Linked DNA regions of Callithrix jacchus. The main gene of each other region encodes a partner of the protein of the gene in region 3 in a complex. Links are inferred from orthologs where the notes say so. Each region holds a gene or a part of one and is shown on either strand. Other genes may lie near its edges.

What was found.
Region 1: EIF4A3 (region 3) and MAGOHB share a complex: the UniProt entries of both Homo sapiens proteins name them as parts of the mRNA splicing-dependent exon junction complex. The link is inferred for Callithrix jacchus from reciprocal best matches to the Homo sapiens genes EIF4A3 and MAGOHB.
Region 2: the proteins of EIF4A3 (region 3) and CASC3 are in contact, whole or in part, in a crystal structure (PDB 2J0U), measured with the Homo sapiens proteins. The link is inferred for Callithrix jacchus from reciprocal best matches to the Homo sapiens genes EIF4A3 and CASC3. Residues at the interface, in NP_055555.1 of Homo sapiens: Thr178, Arg179, Lys198, Ile201, Tyr202, Tyr205, Arg206, Tyr207, Leu208, Pro209, Pro210, Thr212, Lys231, Phe232; in NP_031385.2 of Homo sapiens: Arg217, Trp218, Glu219, His220, Asp221, Lys222, Phe223, Glu225.
Region 4: EIF4A3 (region 3) and MAGOH share a complex: the UniProt entries of both Homo sapiens proteins name them as parts of the ALYREF/THOC4-EJC-RNA complex. The link is inferred for Callithrix jacchus from reciprocal best matches to the Homo sapiens genes EIF4A3 and MAGOH.

What each region holds. Positions count from the first base shown.
Region 1 is NC_133510.1:12,492,310-12,498,079, forward strand, and holds the end of MAGOHB (protein mago nashi homolog 2), read left to right. Parts: intron 1-354; coding exon 355-465; intron 466-2,358; coding exon 2,359-2,441; intron 2,442-3,869; coding exon 3,870-3,969; 3' UTR 3,970-4,238; downstream 4,239-5,770. UniProt on the Homo sapiens protein: Required for pre-mRNA splicing as component of the spliceosome. Plays a redundant role with MAGOH in the exon junction complex and in the nonsense-mediated decay (NMD) pathway.
Region 2 is NC_133506.1:71,775,903-71,782,683, forward strand, and holds part of CASC3 (protein CASC3), read left to right. Parts: intron 1-2,542; coding exon 2,543-2,607; intron 2,608-3,204; coding exon 3,205-3,319; intron 3,320-3,556; coding exon 3,557-3,655; intron 3,656-3,905; coding exon 3,906-4,117; intron 4,118-5,024; coding exon 5,025-5,147; intron 5,148-5,298; coding exon 5,299-5,322; 3' UTR 5,323-5,363; intron 5,364-5,740; exon of another isoform or gene 5,741-6,544; intron 6,545-6,781. UniProt on the Homo sapiens protein: Required for pre-mRNA splicing as component of the spliceosome. Core component of the splicing-dependent multiprotein exon junction complex (EJC) deposited at splice junctions on mRNAs.
Region 3 is NC_133506.1:135,875,890-135,882,058, reverse strand, and holds the end of EIF4A3 (eukaryotic initiation factor 4A-III), read left to right. Parts: intron 1-294; coding exon 295-436; intron 437-1,122; coding exon 1,123-1,261; intron 1,262-1,879; coding exon 1,880-1,995; intron 1,996-2,988; coding exon 2,989-3,096; intron 3,097-3,194; coding exon 3,195-3,322; intron 3,323-3,793; coding exon 3,794-3,810; 3' UTR 3,811-4,066; downstream 4,067-6,169. UniProt on the Homo sapiens protein: ATP-dependent RNA helicase. Involved in pre-mRNA splicing as component of the spliceosome. Core component of the splicing-dependent multiprotein exon junction complex (EJC) deposited at splice junctions on mRNAs.
Region 4 is NC_133508.1:90,371,848-90,377,856, reverse strand, and holds the end of MAGOH (protein mago nashi homolog), read left to right. Parts: intron 1-808; coding exon 809-919; intron 920-2,983; coding exon 2,984-3,066; intron 3,067-4,220; coding exon 4,221-4,320; 3' UTR 4,321-4,477; downstream 4,478-6,009. UniProt on the Homo sapiens protein: Required for pre-mRNA splicing as component of the spliceosome. Plays a redundant role with MAGOHB as core component of the exon junction complex (EJC) and in the nonsense-mediated decay (NMD) pathway.

The sequences.
Region 1 (5,770 bases), on a different chromosome or scaffold from region 3:
ATTCTCCTGCCTCAGTATACTTCCATTTATTACTGTTCACCTTATAGATCTTGTGACGTCACAAGTTAACCAGTCGGAGGTATTTGGATCTCAATGTTACAAAGGCAGAATACAGTGTTTTCAAAGGCAGGTAATGATGAGAAGAGGGAAAAAATATATGTTAAAGGAAAGGGCAAGAGATGAAGAAAAGTAATATAACAAGGATGAATGAGTCTATTCTATACCTTTGGAATCAATGAAATTTTTCAGTATTTCTCTATTTGAATATTCAGGGTTTATAACTCTTATTTCCTTCGGTTGAGGGGTAACACAGGTGGACATTTTTAATCATATTTTATTATGATTAATTTTTAGGCTTATGTACACAAGAGTGTAATGGAAGAACTGAAGAGAATTATTGATGACAGTGAAATTACAAAAGAAGATGATGCTTTGTGGCCTCCCCCTGACAGGGTTGGCCGTCAGGTTTGTATTTAGTGATCCTTTAAGTGCATAAATATTAAAAAATGATAATACTGTTATGCTTTCCCTTGTTTATTTTAAATGAGTCTAAGTTGATTCTCTGGCTTTCCGTTCAGTAGGCACCTGGTAAATTCTCTTTATCTCTCTTAGTTCCGTTTTCTGTCCTATCTCCGGTAGTAAAGGAGTTGGTGCATAGTTCTAAATTTAGACATCTTTCTCTGTAGTTACCGCAGCCAATGTTGGGATGTTTTCACAGTGCAGTGTTAGGAAATTTCTGTTGTGTGTTAATCACTTTTATTAAGAATATGATTATGTAAAATTTACTTTTGCCAAATCATAACTTTCAAAATTCCTGTTTGCATCCCTATACCCCAGAGAGAGACTTGATTGGTGGTTTCTTTATTACAGCTGATGATTGCATTTGCCTCTCCTATTCCTTCAGAATAACTGATGTTTCTCAAAATGCTTCTGAAGAACTCTGAAGGCCTAATTTCATTCTGTAGAAAGAAAGTTTGGTTTCTGAATTGGGTCTTTTCAACTCTTGGAGAAATGAGATACAACCCCTGGAAGGAAGAAACATTTAATTTCACTCTTGTATATTCCTGAGGATTGTACTTTCTATCACCTTCTTTGACTAGAAGAAAATGTGGAGAAAGATAACAGATGCTGACATTCTGTAGGAGTAACTTAACTCTTCTGTTTAAAGAAACATTATTTAGGAAAGCAAAGGTAATAGTTAACAGTATTTATTCTAAGCATTGCATCACTTTTAAAAAGTAAATTTAGGCCTCAGTTTGTTTTATGCACATATACATGTGTACTAAAAAGCAGACCACAGCAGCTAACCTTTTATATCATTTAGACTCAGGGAGAGCCTAGTATTTTATCTACTCGCTTAAGGATGTTTTCCTGGGTTTTGGTTAGCAGGAAGGAGTAGGCATGCTTCAGAAATTGCCTTTTGTATCAAGTCAAAGGTTCTATGGCTGTTAGAGCATCTTAGTTTTCTCCATTTGGCCTGTGTCATTAAACTGGATAAATGGGTCTTCTGGTTAAATAAATAGCTAGAACTGCCTTCAATGGTGTCTGTTAACTTGAAAATTCATTACAGATAGAGTCTCTTCGTTATTGGTTTTAGGCCTACAGATAATAGAGAGAAAAATCTCTACAGTAATTACAGCACACTAGGAACATCTACATCATGTTGTATTTGTTTTACTAGTTCTTAATTTTAGTTATTTTACGGAGTATTGGTTTTAAATCTTACAATCTTGAGATCAAATATAAGTACTGTCACTTATTAGTGGTTATTAAATACAAGCAAGTATTTTCCTCTGCTTTATGAGTTTTGGATTACACATTTGTAAAATAGGTTAATAAGGTTATTTTCAAGATTGTAGAGAGTGTGAAGTCCCTCGTACTAGGACCTGACATACAGTAGGTGCTAAAGTGGTGTTGGTTATTACTGTTATACATCTTATTTGTAGAATCTTCCAGACAGGAAACGTGTATTTATCATATTAAAAATGGCCTCGGGGTGAAACCCCGTCTCTACTAAAAATACAAAAAATTAGCTGGGCATGGTGGCGCGTGCCTGTAATCCCAGCTACGCAGGAGGCTAAGGCAGGAGAATTGCCTGAACCCAGGAGGCGGAGGTGGCGGTGAGCTGAGATTGCGCCATTGCACTCCAGCCTGGGTAACAAGAGTGAAACTCCGTCTCAAAAAAAAAAGATATAGTTTGTATCTAATAAACCAAGGTTTTGTTTTTTTTTTTCTCATCTCCCTTCATTGACTGCTAGAAAACTTACAACTAGAATTGGGACCCATTTGTAGCAAGAATACAGATATCTCTGGGATAGATTTTTGCATTAAGTACATTTTTGTGCTGTTTTTTTTTAGGAGCTTGAAATTGTCATTGGAGATGAGCACATATCTTTTACCACATCAAAAATAGGTTCTCTTATTGATGTGAACCAGTCAAAGTAAGTATGTGGAAGCATGTTGGCTCAGGTGTCATATTAGAAAGGCTCAGTTTAGAACTACAGTTTGTTAGCCAAGATCATTTCAGAGGCATTACAGTGAATTGATAAACCTATCAGTTTATTATGCAGATGTAATTCTGATTTTTATATCATTAAAGGCTTATTATCTTGTCTCTCAGTAGAAGTTAGCAGAGTATTTCATTGATTGTCCAAAAAATTTTAATCCAACAGCTGTATATAATAATGCCCAAATTGTATTAGCCATTTTGTATAAAAATGTGGATATAGTATTAGAAAATCCAAAGAAAAGAAATCCTCTTTAGAGCCATATCATCTCACTTTCCTCCTTGGACTCAATACTTGGGGAAAAAAAAAATGGAAAAAATCCAGTATAGCCTGAATATCCTTTAGCTACCAATGTCTTCCCAAGATCTGTCTCTTTTCCATCCCGGGTTTTGTGGCACATCCCACTTTCTTGGTCTTCTTTCTGCCCATTCCCCTCAGCGTGTCCCTACAGTACTCTTATTTTTTTCTCTTACACTAAATTGTAATAATCCTGGTTTGAATGTAAGCTCCATGAGAACCTTGCTGTACCCTCAAAGTTAGCATAGTGTCCTGCATGTAATAGATGCTTTTGATAAATATTTATTAAAGGAAAGGAGAAAGGAATGAATGCATAATAACTATTGGACACAAAAGTCTGTGTTCACAAAGACCAACCAGATGCTTTTAAACTATCAAATTTATTCTCCTACATTTGGTGAGGATGTGGCGTTGATACCCTACTGGGATTATAAACTGTAGTGGTTTTTGGAAAGCAGTTTGATAATATGCATCAAAAACTGTTAACATTTTTCATTCATCTTTGGCCTAGTAATTCATTTTTCAGCATCTCTTCTATGGAACTGTTCCTAAATATTGGAAAAGCTTTATTATGCATGAAGATGCTCATTGAAGTATTATTTATAATAGGAAAATAATCCCAGTGTCTAATAAGGAGAGAATTATTAAATTAATTAAAAATTATTAGTGAGTTCTTTTGAGTGCTGTGGGGAAAGTAATTAAAAAATGGCACAGGAAATGATTGTAGTTACTAACGAATGGAGAATATCAATGTTTATAGTTATTCTATGAAAATGGTGGCATTACAGTATTTCTTTCTGCTCTATTAGACATTTTTATGATGTGGTTATTACATTCATAAGAAGATTAAACTCTTTAAATACTAAAATGAATACTGATGAAGAAATTTTTTTCTTATAGAAAAGATATTTTCATTGTATGTTCATTTTAGTTGTTAGCAAAATCCTTCCTTTCTCCTAAATTGTGTTAACTTGTTAGAAGATTTTGATTTTGTTTTGTTTTAGGAATTTAAGGAATTGTTTTATCCTAGGAACAAAAAGTAACTTTTACCTTTTTAAATTTTAGGGATCCTGAAGGCCTTCGAGTATTTTATTATTTGGTACAAGACTTGAAATGTTTAGTTTTCAGTCTCATTGGATTACACTTCAAGATTAAACCAATTTAAATTCCATGTTTTTCAAGCTGTTTGTATATTTAATTAAGGGATGAAGGGTTTATTTGTCATTTACAATATTGGGGTTTTTATGAATGTGAAGCAAAAAAAAAATTTGTATGTAAACTGAAAATAAGAAAATACATTAACAGGCTTAATGGTCATCCTAACTTGAGTCCACGTGGTTTGGACAGTCCCCACACACATTAAGTTCTGTAAATAAAAGCCACCTTTTGTTAAAAATTTGCTCTAATAAAACATGCCAAATCCTGGTTGCAGAGTATTTTTTTGTTTGTTTGTTTTTTTCCAGGAGGCCATGTCTCTAATTTACTTTAAAGATAATAAGAAATTGTTCTGGTAGGTATATCCTGTGATAGAAGATACTTTAGGTGGAAATATGTAGCCAGATTCTCATCCACTAAAAGCAACTGTAGGTATTTCCTCCATTCGTGATTGAATTTAATTTTGGGGGCTTATGGAAGGTCTGGGTCTTTTGCAGTTATCACAAACCCCTCAGGGATTATTCACATTTAAATATTTTCGGTTATAAGCAGTGATGTGCTAAAGTGTTACAAGAGTAAATTCCACCCCATGTTAGGCATATCTTTGATTTTGCCCAGTGGTTGAGGGAGAACTAAATAAGTTTTCAGCTTTATATATTGTTAAATGTTTAGACAAACACATGTATGTAGGAATGTACATAAATATTTTTAACTCCTATTGAACACAGGTCTCTCTTAAGTTTCCCTGTTCTTTCCAACCTCTTTCTGATGGTAACCATGTCCCTTGTTTCCTTTATTCTTCCATCTGAACCCCCACTCTTTAAACATTATGATGTTCTGGTAGTTATGATCCACTTGCCCCAGGAAGAAGTTAGCACTAACTTTTGGGCGGAATAATTAGTTAATTAGGAAATAGAAAATTAGAAAATAATTAGGAAATCTCGCCAGGACTCCTGAGCTAGGCTCTAGAGTCGGGCTGTCTGGTAACTTTTTTTGCAATAATGGAAGTGCAATCCAATAGGATAGCCACTGGCCAAATAGGGTTACCGATTACTTGAGGTATGTGCCTCATATAACTGAATCTATGGTGCTCTTTAAAAAATTTTTTTTCTAATGTGAAAAGGATAAAACATAAAACTCTTGAGATTTATAAAGTGAATACCTATATGCCAACCTAGATTGTATACTTAACATCTTTTTTACTGTAATATGTCTATTATAAATCATCTTGGTTTTTCCCTTAACTAGTGTAATTGGTGCTAGTAAACTACATTTTTTGTAGTGATACTTAGTTTTGATTAAATTTAGTGGCTACCCATTGGACAGTATAGGTCTAGAGCATGGTTTGGTAACCTTCTTGCCATGGAGCACTAGATGGCAAGTTTTGAGCATTTCATTGCTCAGAATGACCCACTGTTTCACATTTGCCATGGAAAGCAACAGAGTTCTACTTCATGGTGCAAGTACACCATCTTCAGGTCTTGTATGTAAAATATTTCTGTTTCAGTTGTAGACCTTGATAATTGTGCAATACAAAATTGTATAATATTCTTGCATTTGGTGTCAGCCTCAAGAAGAAAGAAGAGCAATTGCCTTTTGAACTTCCAGGGGGCCCATAGTTTTTGGTTGTGCCTCAAAATAACCTTCATTCTGTGACTCCTGTTGAGTAAGAGGATTCATTCAAAACTGAACAAGGTTGAGGAGAAATAGCGCTTACATTAAAATCTTTAACGCTTTGTCCCCATGCTCTGACTTACTTATATATTGATTATTTTGCTCTGTCCCCAGTATCTACTAGGATTTCTCGTATT
Region 2 (6,781 bases), about 64 Mb from region 3:
TCTATGTTGTGGTAAAAGTTTATCAATAAATGTATTCCTAAAGAGTAGAAAATTAAAATGTAGCAGGGCACGGTGGCTCACACCTATTATCCCAGCATTTTAGGAGGCGGAGACGGGTAGATCAGGAGGTCAGGAATTCAAGACCAGCCTGGCCAACATAGTGAAACCCTGTCTCTACTAAAAATATAAAAATTAGCCAGACGTGGTGGCATGCGCCTATAATCCCCATTACTTGGGAGGCTGAGGCAGGAGAATCACTTGAGCCTGTGAGGCAGAAGTTGCAGCGAGCCAAGATTGTACCACTGCATTCCAGCCTGGGTGATAGAGCGAGATTTTATCCCCTGGGGCGGGGTGGGGGGGCGTAGAAAACATACCATTCAGATCTTATCTGCGCTGCTGACAGGGTGTGCCATCACATCCAACTAATTTTTGTATTTTTTGTCGAGATGGGGTTTTACCATGTTGGCCAGGCTGGTCTCAATTTCTTGACCTCATGATCTCCCCACCTCAGTCTCCCAAAGTGCTGGGATTACAGGTGTGAGCCACTGTGCCCAGCCCCGACTAATTTTTTTTTTTTTGAGATGGAGTTTTGCTCTATCTCCAGGCGGAGTGCAGTGGCGTGATCCCGGCTCACTGCTGCTTCCATTTTCCGGTTTCAAGCAATTCTCCTGCCGCAGCCTCCCGAGTAACTGGGACTATAGGCACGTACCACCATACCCAGCTAATTTTTTTTGTATTTTTAGTAGAGATGGGGTTTCACCATGTTGGCCAGGATGGTCTCGATCTCTTGACCTTGTGATCTGTCTGCCTCAACCTCCCAAAGTGTGGCTAATTTAAAAAAAAAAAATTTTGTAGTGATGAGGGTCACACTATGTTGATCTTGCACTCCTGGGCTCAAGTGATCCTCCCAAAGCGCTGGCATTACAGGTAAAAGATACTGCACCTGCCCAGTTGTCATTGAGCCTCCTGAGTACAGGATCCTTTTCTACTCTCTGTAAAAAAAGGGTAGTAGTCAACGTTATTATTTGCACTAATGGTAAATGTTTGAAGGGAGAAATTTATTCAGTTGAATTTTGATCAAGATCTTCTCTAGTATCTTTGAAAGGTAAGCCTCCCTAATTTCCTTAATCTTCTAGAGACAGATCATCCAGTAGAACTTTCTGTAGTGATTGTACTTTTGTGTTGTTATTGTTCTTATTATTTATATATAGAGATACAGATTTTTTTTTTTTTAAGATGGGGTCCCACTTTGTCACCTAGGCTGGAATCTGAAGTACAGTAGCGTGACCTTGGTTCACTGCAACCTCTGCCTCCAGGGCTCAAGCAATCCTCCCATCTCAGCCTCCTCAGTAGCTAGGATCACCTGGCTAAGTTTTTTTTACTTTTTGGGGAAACAAGGTCTCACTGTGTTTCCCAGGCTGGTCTTGAATTCCTGGGCTCAAGCATCCTCCTACTTCTGCCACCCAAAGTGCTGGGATTACAAGCATGAGCCACTGCACCCAGCTGGAATTGAACTTTTAATTTTAATTAATTGAAACTTAACTGACCACATTTGGCTTGTTGGTGTCATACTGGGCAGCATAGTTTTAGAGAGTAGGCCCAACTGTTGCCCATTTTGCCTATTGTAGTTTGTCTTCTTCTAGCCAGACAGATTGAAGGATCTTTTGTTAGTCTGAAATCTAACTTAAATACTGGAACTCCTCATTTGGAGTTGCAGCACACTTCTCACCATTGGAAGACAATCTCTAGAAACATTCCTTTTGTTCTTGAGTCATTTTAGCTAGCCAGAGGAGAATCTTCTCTCAAGCTTCCAACCTACAACAGCTCTGTGAATGGGGTATAACAAGTAGATTTACAAAGCATCCCTCCCTTGTCCAGCTGTTGCTCAGAAACTCTTGAGCTGAGATTTTTCAATATGTCAGATAATGTAATGTGCTAATTATAATCTCCCAGATGCAGAGAACAATTTGATAGGAAAAATTTGAACTTGATTTTCTTCACTGAAGTCATTTTTCATGTTCAAAGGCTTTATTACTATATTAAGATGGCAGACAGTGGGGACAAATTTCTAAATGCTGATGTTGACAGCAGAGATAATTTATAGAGAATTTTATTAGTTAAAAGAAGAAAGCCATTTCCCATGTGGACACTTAAACCTGTCATTTTCAGCCGGGTGTTGTGGCTCACACCTGTAATCCCAGCACTTTGGCAGGCAGATCACGAGATCAAGAGATGAAGACCATCCCGGTCAACATGGCAAAATCGTCTCTACTAAAAATACAAAAAATAGCCAGACGTGGTGACACATGCCTGTAATCCCAGCTACTCGGCAGACTGAGGCAGGAGAGTCGCTTGAACCCAGGAAGCAGAGATTGCAGTGAGCTGAGATCGCAGCACTGCACTTCAGCCTGGCGACAGAGTGAGACTCTTTCTCAAAAAAAAAAAAAAAACAAATGAAAAACCTGTCATTTTCTTAATGGTATCTTTAAGTCCCACTCACATATGTCTGACCTGCAGAAGTGACTTTTTCCGTGTATTACAGGTATGGCCAACCATATACACATGGGAGCAGGACCTCCACCTCAGTTTAACCGGATGGAAGAAATGGTACAGGAGGGGAAAGGGGTCGATGGGGGAGGAGGCTGCTTTACATAGCTTGTTCATTGTTTAAAACAAGATAAGGGCTGGGTGCGGTGGCTCACGCCTATAATCCCAGCACTTTGGGAGGCCGAGGCGGGTGGTTCACGAGGTCAAGAGATTGAGACCATTCTGGTCAACAAGATGAAACCTCGTCTCTACTAAAAATACAGAAATTAGCTGGGTATGGTGGTGCGCACCTGTAGTCCCAGTTACTCGCTGAGGCAGGAGAATTGCTTGAACCCAGGAGGCGGAGGTTACGGTGAGCCGAGATTGTGCCATTGCACTCCAGCCTGGGTAACAACAGCGAAACTCCGTCTCAAACAAAAAAACAAAAACAAGGTAAGATCCAAAAGTCAGCTTTCCCATTGATTATCCATGTTTCTTTTAATTTGGATCTCAAATCTTGATGTCTTTCATTGATTATTTTTCAACTCACTTTGCAAATACCTATTAAACACCTGCCATGTACCACACATACCAAGTGTTTTGCAGCAGCTAAAGGAAGGTAGGACTTGATATGAGAGCCCTCTAGAATTCTTGTTCAGGCCTCTTTCTTTGTCTCAGGGTGTCCAGGGTGGTCGAGCCAAACGCTATTCATCCCAGCGGCAAAGACCTGTGCCAGAGCCCCCTGCCCCTCCAGTGCATATCAGTATCGTGGAGGGACATTACTATGATCCACGTGAGTTTTTTCTTGTTGGGGTACTTTTCTTGGCAGGGTGAAGTGAACTAAGACACCAGGCTCCTGGCTCCTGAATTTCTCTTCTGACCTCTCAGTGTTTATCAAACATTGTCTGATTGCTCTTTTCCTCACATGCAATATTGAGAACATCTTTTAAAGGGTTTGGGGGACAAGGTGACTTGTCCATGTGATGTGAAGAGTAAGGGTTTATGAGAGTCCCAATGTGATATCTTACAGCACAGTTCCAGGGACCAATCTATACCCATGGTGACAGCCCTGCCCCGCTGCCTCCACAGGGCATGCTTGTGCAGCCAGAAATGCACCTTCCCCACCCAGGTAAGCTTTGTACCTGTGCTTGTATACCTCCGGTACCTGAGGATGTATGTTAGGAGTGCCACAAACCCCATCCTCCTCAGCTCTGTGCTGCTAGCCTGTGAGTGTGGCCATCCTTGGGCAACAAATTCCTCTTGTGTCCATCCTGAGGACTTCCATCCTGAGCCTCATTATGCTGAGCAGTCCAGCCAGGCCATCCTATGAAAATGGTGTTACTTTCTTTTTCAATTTTTGTTTTCTTCTCCTTATCCAGGTTTACATCCCCACCAGACACCAGCGCCTCTGCCCAATCCGGGTCTCTATCCCCCACCAGTGTCCATGTCTCCTGGACAGCCACCACCTCAGCAGTTGCTTGCTCCTACTTACTTTTCTGCTCCAGGCGTTATCTTTGGTAATCCCAGTTACCCTTATGCTCCAGGGGCACTGCCTCCCCCACCGCCGCCTCATCTATATCCTAATACGCAGGTGAGATGGTTAATGAGCATGTTTTTCTAGCTACACATCCTTTAATTCAGACAGGAATGTGGTATGGGGAGAATCCTAAAGGAATTTGAGAAAACATTTCAATGCCACTGATTTTTATGTGGCACCAGGACGCCTCTTAGTGGTCAGGAACTGGAAATGCAGCTTATGTAATGCCCATCATCTTTATTCTTTTCAGTTTTTTTTCTGTCACCCAGGCTGGAGTACAGTGGTGTGATCTCAGCCCACTGCAACCTCCACCTCTTGGGTTCAAGCGATTCTCCTGCCTCAGCCTCCCGAGTAGCTGGGATTACAGCGCCTGCCTCCACGCCGAGCTAATTTTTGTATTTCTAGTAGAGACAGGGTTTCACCATGTTGGCCAGGCTGGTCTCAAACTGCTGACCTCAAGCGATCCACCTGCCTTGGCCTTCCAAAGTGCTGGGATTACAGGCATGGGCTACTGCACCCAGCCTTCAGTTTCTCTAATGGTGTTTCTTTCCTGTGTTGTGGTACGTCATAGGCGGCAATATCTGCTTTTTATTCTGTTACATAAAGAAGCTGTATTGTACTCTTTATTACCCCTACCCTTGTCCTGCTTAACTTCCACCATGTTGACATAATCCAGCATCTGAAGTGTCACCACTGAACTCAGCCTTTTCCATTTGTCAGCTGGTGGTAGAAATTAGAGAAATCTGGGTAGTACTTTGAAGAAGGAGAAACAAGAGCATAATAATGATGAATTAAGGCAGAAATGAATAGTCACTTTATTTTGAAGGGTGGGCAGATTTTAGATATTTAAAAAATTATAAATAACCCAATACTCTTTTGTGGCTGAATAATATTTCCTATTTATCATAGATTGGATGAACTCATTCCTAACTTTTTCTTCTCCTGGTTTATCGGGTGCCAGGCCCCATCGCAGGTATATGGAGGAGTGACCTACTATAACCCCGCCCAGCAGCAGGTGCAACCAAAGCCCTCCCCACCCCGGAGGACTCCCCAGCCAGTCACCATCAAGCCCCCTCCACCTGAGGTATGAGAGCTCCTTCCCATACCTATTGCACATGCTCCATCAGTGGGCTTTCCTTCTCCCCAGAGGATTTCCCTTCTTTTCTGGGTGTGTTTCTATGGAAAATGGTCTCTTTGGTATGACCTGATAACAAATTCCAACTTTATTATTTCAGGTTGTAAGCAGGGGTTCCAGTTAATCTGAGTTTCTGAATATTTTAAATCTTAACATCATATAAAAGTAAGTGCACAACTTGCTGTGAATATTATTCTTAAAACTAATGCTCACATTTACTTGATTAACAAACAAAATCACCTAATTAATTCCTTTTTTTTTCTGTCGATTAGTATCACATTTTATTACACAAAATAAATTTCATCCTTGTTGCACATTCACTCTCGCTATAAATCTGGTTTTTAAAAAATCCCTAGGGATTCAGTCTCATCTATTTCATTGACGTCATGCCTCTATTGTAGTCAGAGTCCTCTCAAAGGACAAAAGCAGATGTGTCTGCCTTGGGTCAGCTGCACACAGTGTGCTCCTGGCCTGCCCGATGGAGGCGCGGCTCCCATCATCATCTGGACCGCGACTTCTAGGTACTGTCAAAGTGGCAGTATGTCATCGCCTTCACCAGCCCTTCTCCAGCAGCATAACCAGTCCTCCTAGCTGGTTCTCTGGGGACCAGCCATCATGTCGACGTGGTGGCAGTGTCCCCAGGCAGCTGACCATCCTGAGCTTCTCTTTGGGCAGGCCTGGGCCAGGGCCTTAGGGGATCTCTGTGTCCATGGCATAAATCTGAATGAGATCAAACACAATATTATCAATGATTGGCTTGGTAAGGTACTAAATACCTGCCACCATGGCTTCTCAGCCTCGACCTCAGCAGGTACCTCAACTCCATAGACCTGTAGGGCCAGGTAGAGCACTGCCACAGCTATGTGCTGGGCCTGGAAGCGGAGGCACAGCCCCCCATGGTAGCTGTCCCGCAGCAGGGCCCAGGCAGTGACGGCAACAGGAGTCCGCTGCCAGCTGTGGCGGTTCAGCCACTTCTTGAGGGAAACCAGGTAGTGGAGCAGGTACTTGTGTGGTTGCTGGAAGGAGACCTGGAAGCGCAAAACTCTCAGCATGAGAAGCTCGCACTGCACAATGCTGTCTCGGAGCTCCCAGAAGCAGGAGTCCAACTCCAGGGACTCACTGCTTGGGTTAAAGTACCTGTTGGACACATTGATGATATCACAAGTCCGCAGATGCTGCTCTTCCACTTTGCCAGCCAAGTAAATGGAAGACATAGCGATCAAGTAAGGGTCATAGGTATCCAGGTTGGTCTCACAGAAGAACTTATGGTAAATGGTGCAAGCAGTGGCAATGGGAATGAACCGCATCCCCAGCTTGACACCTGCTTCCATGATGAACCTCGACACTCAGAATTGCGCTCTGGCTTCGGGCGCAGGCCGTCCCAGTCCGCCGCCCTCCAGGCCTTCCATGAGGCCCCGCGGCCCCGGCCCCGGCGGAAGGAAAAGTGGCTCCACGTAGAAACCGGCAGAGCCGGGGCGGGGGGTACTCGCGGCGTCCAGCCCCGTTGCCCCCCTTTTTTTTGAGACGGAATCCCAGTCTGTTACCCAGGCTGGAGTGCAGTGGCGCGATCTTGGCTCACTGCA
Region 3 (6,169 bases):
TCGGTTTTCATTTTTTGGCATCTAGGACCCTTGGGGTGGGTTTCTCGATCCCTAGAGCACTTCAGATTGAAGAAGCATCAAAGGGAAACCAGGTTTCCTCTGTCCTGCTCCGGTGGGTGGGGAGTAGGGACAGAGAATTTGCGGGTGTGTCCCGGTTCTGTAAAGATGAGCTTCCCTGTCAGCCGCACCTTATCACAACTCTGCCTCTAACCCAGTGGGAACACGTGGTGTGCACGTTCCATTTCTGGCTGTGCCATCCTAAACATCCCTCACCTGTCCTGCTCCCTGTCCCAGGTTTCAAAGAGCAGATTTACGACGTGTACAGGTACCTGCCTCCAGCCACACAGGTGGTGCTCATCAGTGCCACGCTGCCACACGAGATTCTGGAGATGACAAACAAGTTCATGACCGACCCAATCCGCATCTTGGTGAAACGGTAGGCGCCCCTTGTGTCAAGTGTTACTAAACACTGGCCCGCATGTATAAAGAGTTTTATGTCATAATTTCAAAAACCTTTTGTAGCCAGGGTCTTGCTGTATTGCTGAGGCTTGTATCAAAATCTGGGCCTCAGGCCACACTGCCGGAGGTAAAGGAATTTAAAGCATGCAAGTTCTTTTAAAATTTGTGTTTTGAAAAACCAAATACTATCTTGGGCAGTATAGGGAGACGCCATCTCTACAAATAATAAAAAGTTAGCCAGGTCTGGTGGTTCACGCCTGTAGTCGAAGCTACTCAGAAGGCTGAGGTGGGAGGATCAATTGAGGCCAGGAGGTTGAGGCTACAGTGAGCTGTGATCGTGCCACTGCACTTCAGCCAAGGCAACAGACCCTGTCTCAAACAAAACCAAACAGAAAACCAGTTTTTATAATACTCATTCTGCTTTGAACCAGTAATCCCAAATTTAAACATTGGGTGATGGTATTTACTTATCATGTTTTAGTTAGAATCATTTCACGTGGTGCACATTGTGAAATGTTGAGTAGGGCATAGAATGGAGGCAGGATGGGGGACAGGGCTGGGTCTGCGCCAGGTATCAGGGTGTGACCTTCTCCACCGGGGTCTCCCTAGAGCCTGGCCTGCCCTCAGTCCTAGTGTGTGACAGGATTTGTCTTTGTCCTTCAGTGATGAATTGACTCTGGAAGGCATCAAGCAGTTTTTCGTGGCAGTGGAGAGAGAAGAGTGGAAATTTGATACTCTGTGTGACCTTTATGACACACTGACCATCACTCAGGCGGTCATCTTCTGCAACACCAAAAGGAAGGTAAGACGCATTATACTGCCTCCAGGTGCTTGAAGGGAAATTGAAGACTGAGTCTCTTAATGACTTAGATCAAGCTTTTTCAGTAAAGGGCCAGTTTGTCCATATTTTAAGCTTCCAGGATACGTGGTCTCTTGGGAAAGCAGCTGTAGACAGTATGCAAACGGTCAGACGTGGCTGTGACCATTCAAACTTTATTTACAGAACGACGACAACGTCAGCCACCTGAAAGACGCAGATTTTGTTGGTTTAAGGTGGAACCCAGGCCTGAGTGGTTTCAGATCCCTAGGTGATGCTCATTTGGAGGCAGACCTGAGAACTCTCGGCCACTCTCCTGAGAAAGGAAAGGAGTTGGGCTACATTCTAACAAGATTGGAATTTAAACTTAAATTTCAAATGAGAATGAGCAGACCTGGCCCCTTGCCCCATAGAATCATCATGTGGAGAAAATGAAGAGGGTTTTGTAGGGGCACCCGAACATTTTCTGGGGAAAGGTGTTTTTTGCACATCCAGTTAAGATGATTCTGAGTTTTAGGAGCAGTTACCTATGAATATTGACACTGGTTCAGCAGATGGTGGAGGTAAAATCCTGAATGCACATCTGTGGTTTGGCATTTGTAGGTGGACTGGCTGACGGAGAAAATGAGAGAAGCCAACTTCACCGTGTCCTCGATGCATGGAGACATGCCCCAGAAAGAGCGGGAGTCCATCATGAAGGAGTTCCGGTCAGGCGCCAGGTCGGTCAGCTGTGCTCTGCGGCTCTGCTGCTCAGGGTTTGCTGGATTGTATGGCAGGCAGTTTATGTGCACTGCTTCCGGGCAGGGCCCAGGCCTGGGGAGATGATGTGCCTGCTCCAGAGCCGAGGCCCTGGGTCAGCAGAATGCCTTCCCGCTAACGGGGTGGTCTGCTCTGCTCCTGTAATACTGAGGGTGATCTGGTAACTAGCCTTAACCAGCCAGGTTGGTCACCTTGGTTACAAGGGCGTGTCTTCTCTTCCAAATAAGGAGTGGTTTTGTGTTCATTTTTCTGATTAGTTGAATTCCTTAGTGGTCAGATAGCGTGGATTGTGTGGTTTCAGTCATCAGAATTTGATTCAGACTTCCTTCTCGGCCCACCTTGTGGTCAGCTGAAGAAATGTGCTGTGTGTACCCAGGCTGGGGAACATTGGCACAATCTTGGTTCACTATAGCCTCTGCCTCCTGGTTTAATGTGATTCCCATGCCTCAGCCTGCCGAGTAGCCTGAAATGGCTAATTTTTTTTTGTACTTTTAGTAGAGACGGGGTTTCACCATGTTGGCCAGGCTCGTTTTGAACTGCTGACCTCAGCTGATCTGCCTGCGTTGGCCTCCCAAAGTGCTGGGGTTACAGGCATGAGCCACCATGCCTAACCGAACTTACTGTTCTTAATTTTTTGCTAGGCAGAAGTAAAATATTTTTCCCAAATCCTGGTTTAGGACCAAGTAAATAAGTTAAAAAGGTAGTATAGTAAAAGATGTCTTTTTTTTATCTCATGGAGCACATGTCCGAAGTAACTAGATGCAGCAACAGCCTCTCTGCACAGGGGTTTCTGGTGCTGTCCCTGAGGCTTCATGTTTGCAGACTGGTATGAGGGGTGACCTCATACATTCTGGATTTGTAGCCAGGCTTCTTAAAATGAGCAGTGGAAGCAAGGCCAGTCTTACACTTTCATGAGTAATTTGATCGCCTTAAACAGTCTTTCTTTTTTGCAGCCGAGTGCTCATTTCTACAGACGTCTGGGCCAGGGGGTTGGATGTCCCTCAGGTGTCTCTCATCATTAACTACGATCTGCCCAATAACAGAGAATTGTATATACACAGGTAGGGGTGCAAGTTTTCATTGGCTTCACTTCTGTTGACACATTTACTGCATCTTTATTGCTATATATACTAACTGTAATATTGTTCGATTCTTGAAGAATTGGGAGATCAGGTCGGTATGGCCGGAAGGGTGTGGCCATTAACTTTGTGAAGAATGACGACATTCGCATCCTCAGAGACATCGAGCAGTACTATTCCACTCAGATCGATGAGATGCCTATGAACGGTAGGAAGTCGTTCAGCGTTACCGTAATTGTAACTACAGAGGGAACCTGCCTACTTTCAGTTTGTAGCCCTTGAGTTGGTTTGTTTGAATTGGAGTTTCACACTGTCACCCAGGCTGGAGTGCAATGGCGCTATCTCAGCTCACTGCAACCTCTGCCTCTTGGTTTCAAGTGATTCTCCCACTTCAGCATTTTTAGCAGCTAGGATTACAGGCGCTGGCCACCACAGCCAGCTAATTTTTGTATTTTTAGAGACAGGGTTTCATCATGTTGGCCAGGCTGGTTTTGAACTCCTGGCCTCAAGTGATCTATCTGCCTTCCTCGGCCTCCTAATGTGTTTGGGATTACAGGCAGGAGCCACTATGCCTGGCCTGTCTTTTGTTTTGAGAAGTCTGTTGTGAAGTTTTAGCTAAATTGACGTTAGGAGTTTTCATTTTGTTTGTATTGTTCCTTATCTGTATCTTCACTTTCAGTTGCTGATCTGATCTGAAGCCGCTGATCTGATCTGAAGCCGCTGATCTGTGAGGATGAGTGGAGACTGCTCACCTGCTGTGTATTCCTGTTTGAAAGCATTTAGGTCCAGCTTCTGTTGAGTGGGGTTGATGTGAACTCTCTTCTCATAAATGGTCTGCCCTCTCCCTTCCTCCGAAGAAGATATGGGGATTCTGCTCTCTTTTCTTATTTACATGTAAATAATACATCGTTCTAAGTCTTTTTCATTAAAAATATAAAACTTTTCCCATAAACTCTGATTTGTATTTCTAAGATGCCACCAGCTTTTCTAGTAACTTACTCTATGGTCTTGGGCCATTTCACTCACTTTTCTAATCTGTTTTTTTCTTTGGGAGAGTTTCAGTGTTGATGGGTTTTGCTCTGGCGCCGGGCTGAAGTGCGGTGGCGCCATCGCAACTCACAGCAGCTGCAGCCTCCTGGGCTCAAGCGATCCTCTCACCTCAGCCTCCTGAGTAGCTGGGACTAACAGGTGTCTGCCAGCACACCTGGCTAAGGTTTAAATTTTTGGTAGAGACAGGGTCTCACTGTGCCGCCTAGGTTGGTCGGTCACTCATGGGTTTAAGCGATTGCTTCTTCCATCTTGGCCTTACAAAGTGCTGGTATCACAGGTGTGAGCCACCGTGCCAGACCTCATTTTTCTAATTTTTTTTTTTTTGAGAGCCAGGATCTCACTCACTCACCCAGGCAGGAGTATAGGGGCGGGATCATCACTCACCACAGTGTTAACAAACTAAAACATAATTGTCTCTTTAAATATTTACATTATTAAAGTATTTAAGTTATCTGCTCAAATATTTAAAGTAATCATCTGTAGCTTTACAGGCACACAGCACCACACCTGCCTGATTATTAATTTTTAAAATGTTTTTAGAGACAGGGTCTCCCTCTGTTGACCAGACTGGTCTTATGGTCTTAAACTCCTGACTTCAAGCAGTCGTCCTGCCTCAGCCTTGCAGAGTGCTGGGATAACACGCATGAGCCAACATCCCGGCTCTAATAATTTGAAATGGAAATTTTAAAACTAACTGGCCCCTCCCTTCCCGAAATTGGTTGGAATGAGAATCTATTTCAGGGTTAGGGTGAGCTTGGAAATGTTTTTAAATTTCATCAGGTTGATTTTACTTGAAGGCATCTGAAATTGCATAGTTGATGCATGGAACTTCCTTTAACTGAAGCTTCCTTTCTGTGGCTGGTAGACCAACTGCATTACCAGGAGCTGGTTAGAAATGGAGATGCTCGGCTGGGCATGGTGGCTCACTCCTGTAATCTCAGCACTTTGGGAGGCAAAGGTGAGTGGATCCTGGCCAAGATGGTGAAACCTCATCTCTACTAAAAACACACAAAAAATTAGCCGGGCATGGTGGCGGGCACCTGTAATCCCAGCTACTTAGGAGGCAGAGGTTGCAGTGAGCCGAGATCGAGGCACTGCACTCCAGCCTGGGAGACAGATCGAGACTCTGTCTCTTAAAACAAAATAGGCCAGGCACGGTGGCTCACGCCTGTAATCCCAGCACTTTGGGAGGCCAAGGCTGGCGGATCACGAGGTCAGGAGATTGAGACCATCCTGGTCAACATGGTGAAACCCCATCTCTACTAAAAATACACAAAATTAGCTGGGCATGGTGGCTCGTGCCTGTAATCCCAGCTACTCAGGAGGCTGAGGCAGGAGAAGTGCCTGAACCCAGGAGGCGGAGGTTGTGGTGAGCCGAGATCGCGCCATTGCACTCCAGCCTGGGTAACGAGCGAAACTCCACCTCAAAAAAAAAAGTCCGGGCGCTGTGGTTCACGCCTGTAATCCCAGCACTTTGGGAGCCTGAGGCTGGCGGATCACAAGGTCAAGAGATTGAGACCATCCTGGCCAACATGGTGAAACCTCGTCTCTACTAAAAATATAAAAATTAGCCGGGTGTGGTGGCACGCACCTGTGGTCCCAGCTACTACCCAGGCAGAAGAATTGCTTGAACCCAGGAGGCAGAGGTTGTTGCAGTGAGCCGAGATTGCGCCACTGCACTCCAGTCTGGGTGACAGAGCAAGACTCCGTCTAAAGAAAAAAAAAAAGAAATGCAGGTGCTCAGGCCCTGCCCTGGCCTGCTGACTGAGAACCTGCTGTTAACAAGGCTCCCAGCTGGCACTGCTGGCCAAGCAAGAGGAGTAGAAGACTGGAGGCCCAGAGGTGGCTCGGTGAGTTCCTGGCAAGGTAGAACCAGGTACAAGTGTGTTCAGGGCCTTTGCCCAACGGCAGCAGGGAGTGACACCCACCACAGCACTGACTGGTGCCAGCCCCAGTGTCCATATCTGTAGGTGTGTGAGCTCACTGAGGCTCGCCGGGTCTCATC
Region 4 (6,009 bases), on a different chromosome or scaffold from region 3:
CTATTGATTTTATGCTTATACACATGTCAACATCCTCACTATTTTTTTACACAGGCATATCTTTTAAAATACATTTTGTTCCTCAGGAGTGTATTACCTAGTTAAGAATAACCGGGGCATGTGGATGTCTCAGTCTCTTGTTTTCCTATAACAAAATACCTGAGACTGGGTAAAATATATTTCTCACAGTTTTGCAGGCTGGAAAGTCCAAGATCAAGGCGCTGGTAGGTTCAGCGTCTGGTGAGAGCCCAGTCTCTGCTTCCACAATTGTCCCTTGTTTTTGCATGCCCCAGAAGGATGAATGCTGTATCCTCATATGGTGAAAGAACAGGAAAGGGGCCAGCTAGTTCCCTTCAGGTCTCTCCCAAGGCACTAATCCTGTCCATAAGGACTCTGCCCTCAAGGTATGATCACCTCCTAAAGGCCCTATCTCTTAACACTGTTGCCTTGGGGATTAATTTCAACACGAATTTTGTAGGAGACACAAACATTTAAACCACAGTAGGGGGCATTCACGGATCTGTTTTGGGTTCTGTTGTGAGTTGGCTATGTGGGCAGGAGAAGGGCCATGTGAACAGGATGTACCAGGAGTAGAACCAGCTAGATGGGGGAATGAGGTACAGTTATTTGATACTTTTGACCCTGTCCCTCACCTGCACCATGCTGAGGTTGAGAGTGAATGTCTTCCAACTTCAGGAGATGCCAGAAATAAGTCTGCAGGAACAGTTATTTTTATCTTCCATCACTATCTGATTCAAAGCACTGCTTAAGGATACAACATATATTTTGTTTTTTAACTTACTTTCAGGCTTATGTACATAAAAGTGTGATGGAGGAACTGAAGAGAATAATTGATGACAGTGAAATTACCAAAGAGGATGATGCGTTGTGGCCTCCTCCTGACCGAGTGGGCCGGCAGGTATGTTTTATTGATTATCCTGTAGTGCAGAAATCTTACAAATAAGATGAGGTTTATTGCTCTGCATATGATAGTGAAATTTTGTGTGTGTGTGTGTGCGTGTGTTTTATTATCCTGTAGTGCAGAAATCTTACAAATAAGATGTTTAGTGCTCTGCATATGATAGTGAAACTGTGTGTGTGTGGGTGTGGGTGTGTGGGTGTGTGGTGGTCAGCTCTGCAGAAAGCAGATTGCCAGCACCATGGTCTAAGGAAGCACTAATCCCATAGGGAGGAACAGAGAGAACAAGTGGTGCTGCTGGCCACCAAGAACCCACCTTGAATTTCTTCTTAGGACCCCCCCACACCCACTCCTCCACTTGAAGCTTTTGCTGCCTGTCTCACTAACTACTATGGACAAATCATAGTGGAGATACAAACAGAAATAGAGCAGCACAGTGAGATCTTTTTTCTACCAAAACCCTAAAAATTAACAGGTGTGGTGGCGTGTACCTGTAGTCCCAGCCATTCGGGAGGCTAAGGCTACAGGATAGCTTGAGCCTCAGAGTTACGGTGAGCTATGATCCTACCACTGCACTTCAGCTTTGGTGAAAGAGTGAGACCCTGTATGTAAAAACAAATCAGTAAAAACATACTACCAAATCTGAAATGAGTGGAACAAATCAGGGGATACAGGAAGAACACAATGGGAGATGGATATCAACTTTGTAATATTTTATTTCTTTAAAAAAAAAAAGCTGACACATGTATGGCAGTAATTTATAAATATGGATATTGGAAACATTGATCTCAGGTTTTTTCTATTTTCTGATTGAATTATAACAAAAATATATATGAATCTAAAAGAAGAAAAAGTAAGTAGGGCTCACAAGACTGTAAGTTCCACAGGGCAGAGATCTTTGGTTTGGTTGGTTTTACTTATCTGTCCTAAGCTCTGAGAACAACACCTAGCACCCAGTAGGCTCTACATAGTATTTTTTGAAGGTTTACAGTACTCATGTCACTGTTTAGAAATTAAGACCCAAAGTCATACAGATATGGAGTGACGAAGTGGGGATCAAACCTAAGGTCTGGAATACTTCCTTTTCCCATGTTGCCTTGATAGGTTAGATCCTCTGGTACTTGTTTTTGTTTGTTGTTGTTGGAGACAGGGTCACACTCTGTTGCCCAGGCTGGGGTACAGTGATGAGATCACGGCTGACTGCTGCCTTGACCTCCTGGGCTGAAGGATCCTTCCACCTCAGCCTCTCTAGTAGCAGGGACCATGGGTGCATGCCACCACACCCAGCTAATTTCTATATTTTTTGTAAAGATGAGGTTTTGCCAAGTTGCCCATACTGGTCTTAAACTCCTGGGCGCAAGTGATTCTTCTGCATTGGCCTCCTAAACTGCTGGGATTACAGGTGTGAGCCACCACACCCAGTCCAATTGTTTGGTATTTTTAAAACATAGATGTATCCATTTTACTCCACATTGTTGACAATGAAAACTTAGACAAAATACTACATAGGCTGGGCATAGTGTCTCATGCCTGTAATCCCAGCAGTTGGGAGGCTGAGGCAGGCAGATCACCTGAGGTCAGGAGTTCAAGACCGGCCTGGCCAATATGGCGAAACCCTGTCTCTATTAAAAATACAAAAAATTTTTAATAGAGACAGGGTGGTGGTGGGCACCTGTAGTCCCAGCCACTTGGGAGGCTGAGGCAGGAGAATCACTTGAACCCTGGAAGCAGAGGTTGCAGTGACCCAAGATCATACCACTGCACTTCAGCCTGGGCGAGAGAATGAGACTCCGCCTCGGGGGGGGAAGAAAAAAAAAAGCTTCATAGATTTTTTTTTCAAATTCCAGAAATAGTAGAGCCTTGAGGGTACAATTTCTTCTAAATATGAGCTTTATTTATGTCTTGTTTCTAGTCCCCAGCACAGTTCAGTGTTCAGAGTGAACCGCCCTTGTTTTTATGGCCATCTGTAGTCAAGTTTGTGTGATTTGGCAAATGATTAATCCTTCTGTGTGCTTGATGAATAATCCAATTTTACTTGACTTAGATTTTCTAAAATGCTTCCAGGAGCTTGAAATCGTTATTGGAGATGAACACATTTCTTTTACAACATCAAAAATTGGTTCCCTTATTGATGTCAATCAATCCAAGTAAGTGCATTATCCTTATCTCCAATTGTGTCTGTTTTGGAGCAGATTGATAAGAAACTCTTAACCAAATTGGGATCACTATGGGAAGATCTGGTACAGGTGGGCAGCTTTGTCCTCCTTGTTAGGGAGGGATCTCAAATTATTTTTGAAGACTTGCTCCTATTACTTTTGGTATTTCATTTAGTCATTGCTATTGAGAGCTTCTTGTTGACGCATACATACAAATTAATGCACAGGAGCAGCCAGGACAAAAATGGAATATGCTAGAAAAGTGCTCATGATAAACCAGAGTCACCAAGTCTGAATAGCCTTCACAGTGTGACTGTTCAGACTGGCACATCTTAAAATCTGACTTTGATGAAACTTGACAATTTTTAGGATCTAAATTTTATTTGATTTTAAATTTATTAATTTTTACAAATAATTTTGGTGAAAATGGATCAAATTTTAAAATTTGTGTTGTCAGTGGGGCAGATTATTAAGTTGAGGCATGAACCTATGTGCTACGAAGAATCTTTAGAATTTGGCAACTTCTTTGGCTCTTATGTTTTGGGGATTCAGGATTAGATATGGCTCACTTTTAGCAAATGTTGGGCATAATTGTCTTCCTTTGCACACTCTCCTTGTTCTTCCCTTTGGATACTCTTTGTTCTTAGCTAGTGATGCCACAGTAATCTTCAACCTCTTGGTCCTGCTTAGTATTACTACTTTTTAAAAAAGTTTTCCTAACTCTGGAAGTAATACATGCTCATTGTAGAAAACACAGGAAATGTAGAAAAGTAGAAGGGTGAAAACCATCCATTATCTTATCAGACAACCTTTATTAATATCTTGCAGTATTTCTTTTTAGTCTTTTTTTCTGTGCATTAATAGAATATATACTTTTTAAGAAGCATAAAAAATATAGTCGAGATCAATGTTAATTTTTTTCACTTAATGTAAGCATTTTCCTATTTTAAAAACTCAGTATATTTAAATTATTTCATAATATGCCATTTTAATATATAGTCTTTTCCTTTTTTGGTCAAAGTTTTAATGCCCTAAATATCTTTACAAGGAACATTTTGATAGAGGAATAATTGAGATTATTAAATGGTATCTTTTGCCCATTTTACCTCAGTGTTTTAAACTTTTTTTTTCCTTTTGCATTTTAGGGATCCAGAAGGCTTACGAGTATTTTATTATCTTGTCCAGGACCTGAAGTGTTTGGTCTTCAGTCTTATTGGATTACACTTCAAGATCAAACCAATCTAGATTGAATATTGGTGTGGACATGGGCGGGTGGGAGTAGTTTTTAATTAGCGTTTTCAAGAAAATTTTTTGTATATCAGGGTGGTATTTTTTTTTATAAACTATAAATGACTGTCTTTAATAAATGTGATAAAATCCAATTTTTATTACTTTATAAAGACCTGAACATGTGAAGTCTTCTTAATTACTTTGTAAAACACTAACGTCCTATGTGAGGTAGTGCCCAAACATAAAGTCTAATCAACTCTCTAGATATAACTATCATTTTAAAGGAAATAAGAGAATATAGAAACATGTTTTAAAAATACAGTAGGATTTCAGTCAGCCATATTGAGAGGAAATTCCAAGACAAATGACCTAGTTTCTTCAGTAAATTACAAGGGAAACAGAAATGGAGTGGGAACTTAAAAAGGAGACTTAAGAGACACATAACACAATATTTGGACCCTATTTGGATAATGATTCAAAAAAAATGTAAAATTAGGCCAGATGTGGTGGCTCACACCTGTAATCCCAGCACCTTGGGAGGCCAAGGTGGGTGGATCACCTGAAGTCAGGAGTTTGAGACTTGCCTGGCTAACATGGTGAAACCACATCTCTACTAAAAATACAAAAATTAGCTAGGCGTGGTGGCGTGCGCCTGTAGTCCCAGCTACTCAGAGAGGTGAGGCAGGAGAATCATTTGAACCTGAGAGGCAGAAGCTGCAGTGAGCCCAGATTGCACCACTGCACTCCAGCCTGGGCGACAGTGAGACTCCATCTCAGAAAGAAAAAAAAGTAAAATTAATACCATTAAGGAAATTTAACACTGGTTTGATTTAGGTATGAAATAGTATGGTGGTTGGAGTTTTTAAAATAACCTTTTATAGATACATCTATATTAGTAGGTATTTCAGTGTGGGGGAAAATACTTTGTTTTCATACGTGACACAAGATAAAATGCCTGGTCTCAGAAAAGTTTTACATTAATCCATTTTAAAATCACAATACCAACAGCCATTCAGGACTGTAAGTTGCCCAGGCAGTGTGGAAATTTGTTCAGCAGGTAGACCTGTGGACAACTTTTCCTTTCTGGTAAATTACGTGGCTTCTTTAGGAAAAGTACTGGTAGGAAAGATTGCACCTGCTGAAAGGAACTAGGCCTACAAAGCCTCATTTGCAGGGAAGTGATTAGCCTAAACTCACTCTCCTAAAAGCAGGCCAGCTTAAGACAAGGTCCCAAGTGTCCTGACCCCTGGACCAGTGCTTTTTCCACCACACTCTACTTCAAAAACTAAGGGGCAAGTTAAGACCTGCAATGAGAGATCAGGGTTCCTGACTCCAGTGCACCTCCTTGGGGCAATGAGGCAAGTTGGTAGTAGACACCAAAAGTCAGTCATTCTAAAGTCATTTAAAGAATTGATAGGACTTCAGGTTATAAAAGAGTCTTTTTTTGTTTTGTTTTCTGAAGCAAAGAAAGTTTTTAGTGTAGAAAAGTATTCTTGGCTGGTGCAGTGGCTCACACCTGTAATCCCAGCACTTTGGGAGGCCGAGGCCTGTGAATCACCTGAAGTCAGGAGTTTGAGACCAGCCTGACCAACATGGTAAAGCCCCGTCTCTACTAAAAACACAAAAATTAGCCAAGCGTAGTGGTGCATGCCTGTAATCCCAGCTACTCGGGAGGCTGAGGCAGGAGAATCACTTGAACCCAGG